2 linked regions of the Drosophila melanogaster genome follow. The protein of the gene in region 1 interacts with the protein of each later gene in a pairwise test. Each region holds a gene or a part of one and is shown on either strand. Other genes may lie near its edges.

What was found. The genes of interacting proteins can lie anywhere in the genome.
Region 2: the proteins of CG13373 (region 1) and Usp2 interact in a two-hybrid assay, tested with the Drosophila melanogaster proteins (one large-scale study listed by BioGRID).

Annotation. Positions count from the first base shown.
Region 1 is NC_004354.4:474,976-478,729, forward strand, and holds CG13373 (uncharacterized protein), read left to right. Parts: upstream 1-2,008; 5' UTR 2,009-2,171; coding exon 2,172-2,316; exon of another isoform or gene 2,317-2,631; coding exon 2,632-2,956; exon of another isoform or gene 2,957-3,037; coding exon 3,038-3,101; 3' UTR 3,102-3,216; downstream 3,217-3,754. Other genes in the region: ebo (ellipsoid body open), read right to left, coding at 1-105, 183-338, 794-1,317, 1,419-1,421.
Region 2 is NC_004354.4:22,453,667-22,457,420, forward strand, and holds the start of Usp2 (ubiquitin specific protease 2), read left to right. Parts: upstream 1-2,136; 5' UTR 2,137-2,197; intron 2,198-2,779; exon of another isoform or gene 2,780-2,893; intron 2,894-3,224; exon of another isoform or gene 3,225-3,525; intron 3,526-3,754. Other genes in the region: wap (wings apart), read right to left, coding at 1-6, 65-524, 728-918. UniProt on the Drosophila melanogaster protein: Hydrolase that deubiquitinates polyubiquitinated target proteins. Required for preventing the activation of the Toll signaling cascades under unchallenged conditions. Essential for bodily calcium homeostasis.

The DNA.
Region 1 (3,754 bases):
TGGGAAAGGTCAAGTATGCTCATAAGGAAGTACTCCGAGATCAGTTCAGTGCGTATCCAGGAGACCAAGTGCTGCACACATCCTAGCAGGTCCAAAATTGAGGAACTGCGGAGTATATAGAGAGATGTTATAACAAAATGTTGTAATGAACATATGCTCTTTTGAATGTTATGATGACCCACCTTAATTGATTGTCATTTGGCAGCGCTGAGGTTAGACTAAAGTCCATGAGGGTGTTTGGTATGGTTGTTTGGATGTCTTTGCCATTGATGTGGCATACAGCGATTAGCAGATACTTGGTTACCAGGTCCAGAACATCGGGTACACACATGGAGATGCTACAGAAACACACGGCAAAAGGGAGCACAAAATGGGTTAGGAACAGTGCTGTGGCAACTGACCAGTAATTATAGTGCTTTCTCTCAACAAAGCAATATAATATGATAACTGGGTTAACGGTTCAATTAGTTGAGTTTTAAGAGGTCAGCTGACTTTAGTTGTTATGCCATATACATACTCAATCTCAATATAACACTTATTAATAAACCAAAAACAAGAACGGACTGACAAGGTCTGGGATTGTGTTATTCTATGTTGTGCGACGCAATCGTGTATTTAAACAAATAACACCAAAGTTAATAATAAAAATACGCTATGCTCGAAAACATCGACCATCTGATACGCCGTACTCAGTTAAAAATCCAAGTAGTCTTAAACAGACATTAAAAGTATGGGACTACAAAACCTTTTTTAAAAAACATACGATTTTAGCCTCTTCGCTCTATTTACCCACCAGGAGTAGAAGTACTGCTTCCATTCGGTGGTCAGGTCGCCCCTGTTGCTTACCACCTCCTCGGAGGTGATCTTAAGCAGGTTGATGCCAAGTTGAAACCGTGTTTTTGTCAGTTCCATGCAGTGTTGCATGTAATTGGGGTCCTGTTCAGGGAACTCCCTCTTTCCGAGTAGGGCTATCAACTGGGCCAGTGTGTCCCTGTGCCGTTTGGCCACATTTGGAGTGGCTACCAGTTGGGCATACGAGTTCCAAAGGGTCTCCCGCAGCAAAGTCTTGTCCGTGGACGTCAACTGTGTCCATCTCCGCGTGATTGTGTGCTCCAAGGTTGAGGTGCTGAAGAACCAGAGGAACTGATTCTCCGTGGTGTCGGAAGAGGTGGCCACACGGAGGCAAAGTTGCCACGCCTCTGGCTGGGACTTGAAGGCCAAGAGGTTTGTCTCGATCTCTCGTTTCCGGGCATTGGAGGTGCTGGGCTGATAAAACTCCTGCAGCAGTCCCTCCACCGTCGTCAAAGATGCGGCGTGCTGCACAGACAGTGGGTGGGTGGAAACCAATTCCCGGTTAGGTGGAATCACTCTGAATCACTGGCAAAATAGTGCGTTTGGCCCGGAGCCCCCCGCCTCACCATTTTCCGTGTCCTTTACGATCCTTCCGAGTATCTGTGATCTGGATGTTACGGTCACTGTGAGCTCCGCTTGCTCGCGGTTCTAATTCCGATCGCATCAGCAGTCGGCGTCCATTAATTGCATGGTTTTCTTTGTGTCTTTACACAAAAGGTGGCCAAAATCTACTCCGGGAAAGTGAACAAATTCCGCACGGCTGGCAACCCTGGCCGATAGTCAATAAATATCGATAGTTGTTGGTTATGGGTATTTTGAAATAAAAAAATTCTACCTTTCTTATTTTAATTACCTAAAACAAAATTTTTTTTAAATAAAATTGGCTATATAAATGTTTCAGCTAAAACTACGAGCGAGCAGACAAGCATCCAATTCAAATCCATAGTTATACAAATATATATATATATATATATATATATATATTATACAAATGTAATAAATTTTATATTTTCAGTCATTTTAATCTGATAAATTAAAAATGCTGGACTATTCCAAACAGCTCATAACCAGAAACATTTTGAATTTTCCGCCTAACCGCAAATTCGATCGATAGACGATAAAAAAATTGATCGCAGTCGGCGCTTTTGTATGTATTTTTTAATATGGTAGCACTATTCTAATAAGGCAATATTGTTAGCAAAACGGGACACTGATTAACTGTTAGCCTGCAAGTTAGGAAACCTGAAAGTAAAGGATTTTCAATTGATATTTCAAGACGTTCCTATCCGATCTGCCCAACAATCTGCCAGTATCTCATCATGGAAAACCAGGTCCGTAAAAAGGCGGCAAAACGATCGCGATCAGCGGATGGCGACGCCAACAACAATCTCACGCAGCGGAAGGTATTTGTGAACCAGAAAATGTGCGACTCCCGTGATCCTCGGAAGATGAAGGAGGTCCATGGTATGTAAATTGCCTTATTCGCACCAACTTATCTTGTTTCGATCCTGTAATGGAGGGGTGGGAGATTGGAGAGATAGCGCCGCTCAGAGCGCAGTTATCCCGGACTTGTTGCTCACTTCAGTTTGAACAGTTAGACGCGAGAACAAAAAATTGAGCAAAGCAGCGACCTCTAATTTACGATGAATTTACGCATAAATTTTTTTTTTTAATTTTTTTCTTGCTGTTCTTTTGCACGTCCCATCGAAGCTGAGTGTCTAACCCTCCTTTAAGTGTCTAACTCAACTGGAACTCTCCGATTTTCTATTTCTTTCGCAGAGAAGACAATCAAAATGCTTTTCGATGGCGCAGCCGGCAATAGGCAGGGTCAGGGCCAGAATGCCCTGAAGCCATTGGTACAAGGCCAGGAGGAGCCCGCCCTATGCGAGCAGTACTATCTGCTTGGCGATGGTTCCATCGTTCTGCGCAACCTTCGCACCGACTTGTCCAATCCGCGCCTGGAGAGAGTGAAATCGCGCTGCTGCCAGCGCCAAACGCTCATCCACGACATATGCGTCAACTGCGTGATGGATCTCTGCGAGGAGTGTGGCTACTCCTGCGGCGAGTGCTCCAGGTTCATTTGCCGCAGCTGCGTGACTTTATTGTGAGTTAAGTCCTTAAAAGAAGCATCCCCCTTGGGAACACCTTTTATTTGAAAATCAATCGACCATCATCTTATTTCCAGTGGTAATCGAGTTGAAGAAGAGAAGGATCCCCTGTGCGAGCACTGCCAGATGTTCTTCAGCTAAGGCTTTACACAATCCAGCACTTATAAAGTCGCGGTGCTTGTTAAATTTTAAGTTCTGAAGCAGTACAAATTTGGGACGACACAATGTCAAATGTATTACCAACCAGCTCCGTTTCACTTATGTCCTGTAACTGCTTTCTTTCCGGCCGATAGCCTGGATGAGATCCTGGCACAGGAGACTGGGCTGGGCTGCTCGGTCTGACATCAGGTTACTGTGTTCTTTTAACAGCACAATCAGGTTGTCTGTGAGTGCATTATACAGATCCACAAATAGCTGCCAACTGCCGCCGTGGCTGATCAAGTACTTGATGTCTACATCCAACATGCTGCCAAGAAGGCAATCCAGGGACTCTCCTGTGAGAGGGACCGTACGATTCCCGGCCAGATTGCGCTGGGCCTCTAGGAGTCATAGGGCATGACCAGAATATGCCAAGTCTTTGGGTTCCGGTTGAAATGGTCATTAAGGATCTAAAGAGAACATTATTAACTAGGGAAGGAGAATAAGGTACTGGGGAAGACTCACCGCTCCCTTCACGCTGCTCAACGAGCATTTGGCAAAGAGCCAAAAGAGTTAGCACATTCTGGAGCGCCGTGTGCTGCGTTTGCGACGCAGGGCGTGCCATTTGCTCCTCTTGTGAGGAAAGACGGCGCAGG
Region 2 (3,754 bases), about 22 Mb from region 1:
AGGATCCTATTGGATTTATCGTTATGTAGTCATCCGTTTTTGTGTTTTCGCGCGTTCTACTTACCTCATATATAATGGTCGAGTGCTCCAAGTGCCGCAGATCAAACATGCGCACCGACCCGTCCGCTCCCACCGAGGCAAACATGTCCCGACCGCCGCCGGCCCGCGAAAAAGCAATGTCGTATACTTCCTTGTCATGGGCAATCAATTGCGTCTTCACGTGTCCTGCCACATAGACGCGAGCGTGCGGCTGTCCGGTCTCCAGTCCCCAGATAGTGCAGGTTGTGTCTATCGATGAGGTTCCCACCAGATTGGGATCCACCTCGTTCCAATCAAACGAAGTGAGGGGAGCGCAAAAGTCGCTGTTCTTGTTGTTATTCAGTACGCACTCGAGCCGCGTGTCCGGTTCCCCGGCACGCCACACCCGCAAGTAGTCGCCACTGGTGGCCAACAGATCCGGATAGACACCCTTGGAGTCCGGGATCCACATGATCTTGGTTGTCGGATATGGATGATCAAAGGTGCTATTTGAAGAAGAAATAATCTGTCAGTGAGGAAGGGGATTTCGGAAAAATGGTTCGTATAACCAAATAACTATTCATATTTAAAATGATTACAATAATATCAAAACTGCTTATCATTTTATATTATTTTTTAAAGATAATATACGAAATATAAAATGAAAACAGAAAGTAGAAGGGATCAGCTAAACAAATATTCGGTATACCTCTTAGCACTAAATTCGCTGGTGTCCTCGTCCAGGCTGATGATCTGTACCTTGTTGTTGTACTCCTCGATGAAGCTGCCCAGTGCGAGCCGGAATCGCTTGTCCGGCCTTACACTCCAGTTCATGGAGTACAGTGGCCATGGCGCGAGATATTTGTAGATCTCCTTGCGCTTTCCGGCGGTCGAGGACATAACTGTAGATATGGAAAAGGATCAGCATGAGAATCTAGGACTCGTATTCGAATTCGGAGTCTGGATCAAGAACCCACCTGAACTGTGTGATTGGATACGGATATCCAGACCAAGACGAAGATCAAGACTTGGATGACAAGGTGCTGCTGAGTTTTCTCAATGCCGTTTAGCTGGTGGCCGGCCTAATGACGACGAGCTCCTTTGGTGATGATGACGACAATGATGATGATGGCTGATAATGACCACTCACAGCAGCGGACAACTCAAGAAAACTTCATGGAATGGGAAACAAAGGTCTTTGCTTGCCACTCGCATTTGCACACTTTACCGGCTTGCTTTTCCTTGGCTTTTCCTGTAGCTTTCCTCTTTTCCGAGATTCACATCATTTTGTGCACTGGCAGTATTGCCAGCTCGCCCGTTTTCCGACTAGAGTCCGTCCGTCCGTTTGCCGTCGTTATTCCGGCGAAATTTAGGTCTGGAGGACACCGATCGGAGAAGTCGAACTGTACTCAATCAACAGGGCGAAGGAATTAATTCAACGGCGTGCACATCGCGACCGCAACGCATCCGTTTGGCCAGCAAGTGGAATTGTGCCCGGCACTCCGTATAAGGTGGCAACACTAAAACGTAATGCGACGCGAAAATTCGTTTGTGGCGGTCCTTCGATGGGCAAGCTGCCCCGGTTTTACCTTATAATTTGGTTAAGTTTCCAATCCAACCACAGTTTTCTGAAACAGCACGGTCGGAATTACACGGAATTAGTATTCAAAGAACTTTTAATACATTCTTTTCGACAGAATTTTCACACAAAAACAGTGTGACCGCGCAGATAGCTATAAGAAATACCTTGTGCAAAATCATTGTTATATACCAGATAAACAAAATACTATTTATTTAAAACAAAATTCTGTATTAAATTATATTGAACTGTAATATATAATATTCTAGGCTTGACTTTAGTCTAATTAAGAATTGAAAGTTGTGTGTTTATTTCCACCCAGAAATCTTTTCCCTGGAACTGGAAATATAATTCGATTGGCGTTTTGTGCAAAAACTATTAAGTTTGAAGCATATTTTTCAAATCCCATATGATGGAATTCTGTGTAAATGGAACATTAAGAAGGCCTCTGCTCATCTGTTAGCAAGTACACCAACCATACATGCATCAGGCATAGTTCTTCGATAGTTATCGAAGAACAGTTAACCTATCTTCAAAATCTAGTGACGGTGACTTCGTTTCGGCGTGCGGCCACACTAGCAAAAAAAATAGGATTAAAAAGTGAGTTCTGTGTTGTGCAAAAAAAAATTGCTTTAATTCGACCGGAAAAAGGCCCTTTTGCGGTGCAAAACGATGATGTCGCTTGGCTGGCGTTAAAATTTGTGGGATATCATTAAGAGACGGGACTTTCGGCAGCGCGACCTCGTTCGCCTCGTGATGTTCGTTTTGCGGTCAAATTTTCACCTTCGCCACCCATCCCCTCGCCCATTTGTTTTCTATCTTAGTATGAATTTATACACTTTATATACGCATTTGCCTTTGTACATTTTTTGTGTTCCGTGGATGTATGAAAAATTCCTAATAGCCGTCGTCGTCACTTTTCCACTTTCCATTTTGAGAAAGATATTTCACTTTGCGTAATTCGTACGCTGCCTGGCGCCTGTGTGTGTGTGTGTGACCGTGTAGCCAATAGTGCTACATCGCTCGCGCGCACAATCTCGGCACTGTTTTACTACTACCCTGGCTCGCCCCCTCTCCCTCACACATTTCACTGCCAAACGTACGCGCGTGTGTGAGTGCACCTTTTAAAAATAGAATCTCATTTCGTTTCGTTTTATATATTGTTTTTGCTTTTATCACAATTATTTCGATTTTGACGTGCAAAGAATGTATGAGTTTTGTGTCTAAAGAAAGCGGCTAATCGTGGTAACCGTTGAAAAAGTTCAGCTACACCTGTGGGTACTCGCGTGCGATTGTGTGAGCTTGGATAATTCAATTTTTTTAAGTGAATGTGTGTGAATGGGCTGTAGTGTAGTTGTAGCATTTTATGAACGAAAGATCGATTCGTGAAAGTGTGGCCATCTTATGTTAGTTAAGGCCTACCACCCGCTTCTCCCATCCCCCTGCACTACACCACCCGCAGAGCCTTACACTTGTGCATGTATGTATGTAAAAGCAACGGTTTTCTCGAATGGGAGCGTAGACAGCCTGGCGGCACACACACGAACGTAACTTCATTTTAAGTGTTACCGCATAAGGACAGCCGTCCGCGTCCCACACCGCCCCTACCCAGTTCAGCCAGCCAGCGTCACACTGAAGTTGTTGTTATGGCAAACTTGAAAACGGCTTTTCTCTATTTATTACTATTTTGCGATTGTAAACAAGTGTCGATCGGTTTTCCACTCTCCGCCTAACTGTTCATCAGGGACAAATCGAAGGCCACAAATTCCCGAGATGTGCGTGGGTGTTTTTTGCGCTTGTGAAAAATCAATCGTGGGAAGGGGAAGAAAGACGAGGAGTTCCGCTTGAAGGGTTTCGCATTATCTTATGCAGAATTCAAGATAACCTTGCGCCTGCAAGCCTTCATTTCTCCAATAAGTGAATCAAATGTAAACGGACAAGGTCTTGACAATTTAGAATTGTTTGCACTACTAAAAGTACCGTCATAAAAATGTGGTTTTGATTAAAAGATGTTCCCTCATTAGATCATTTACACTGGGCATTTTCCAATCTTTTGGGTATATTTTTGATAAAGAAGTTAGAATATTATGGTCCGATTAGTATGAGGTTTTGAATTCGAATTAATTTGATAAATAGGGCCTTCTAAAATTCCATTCT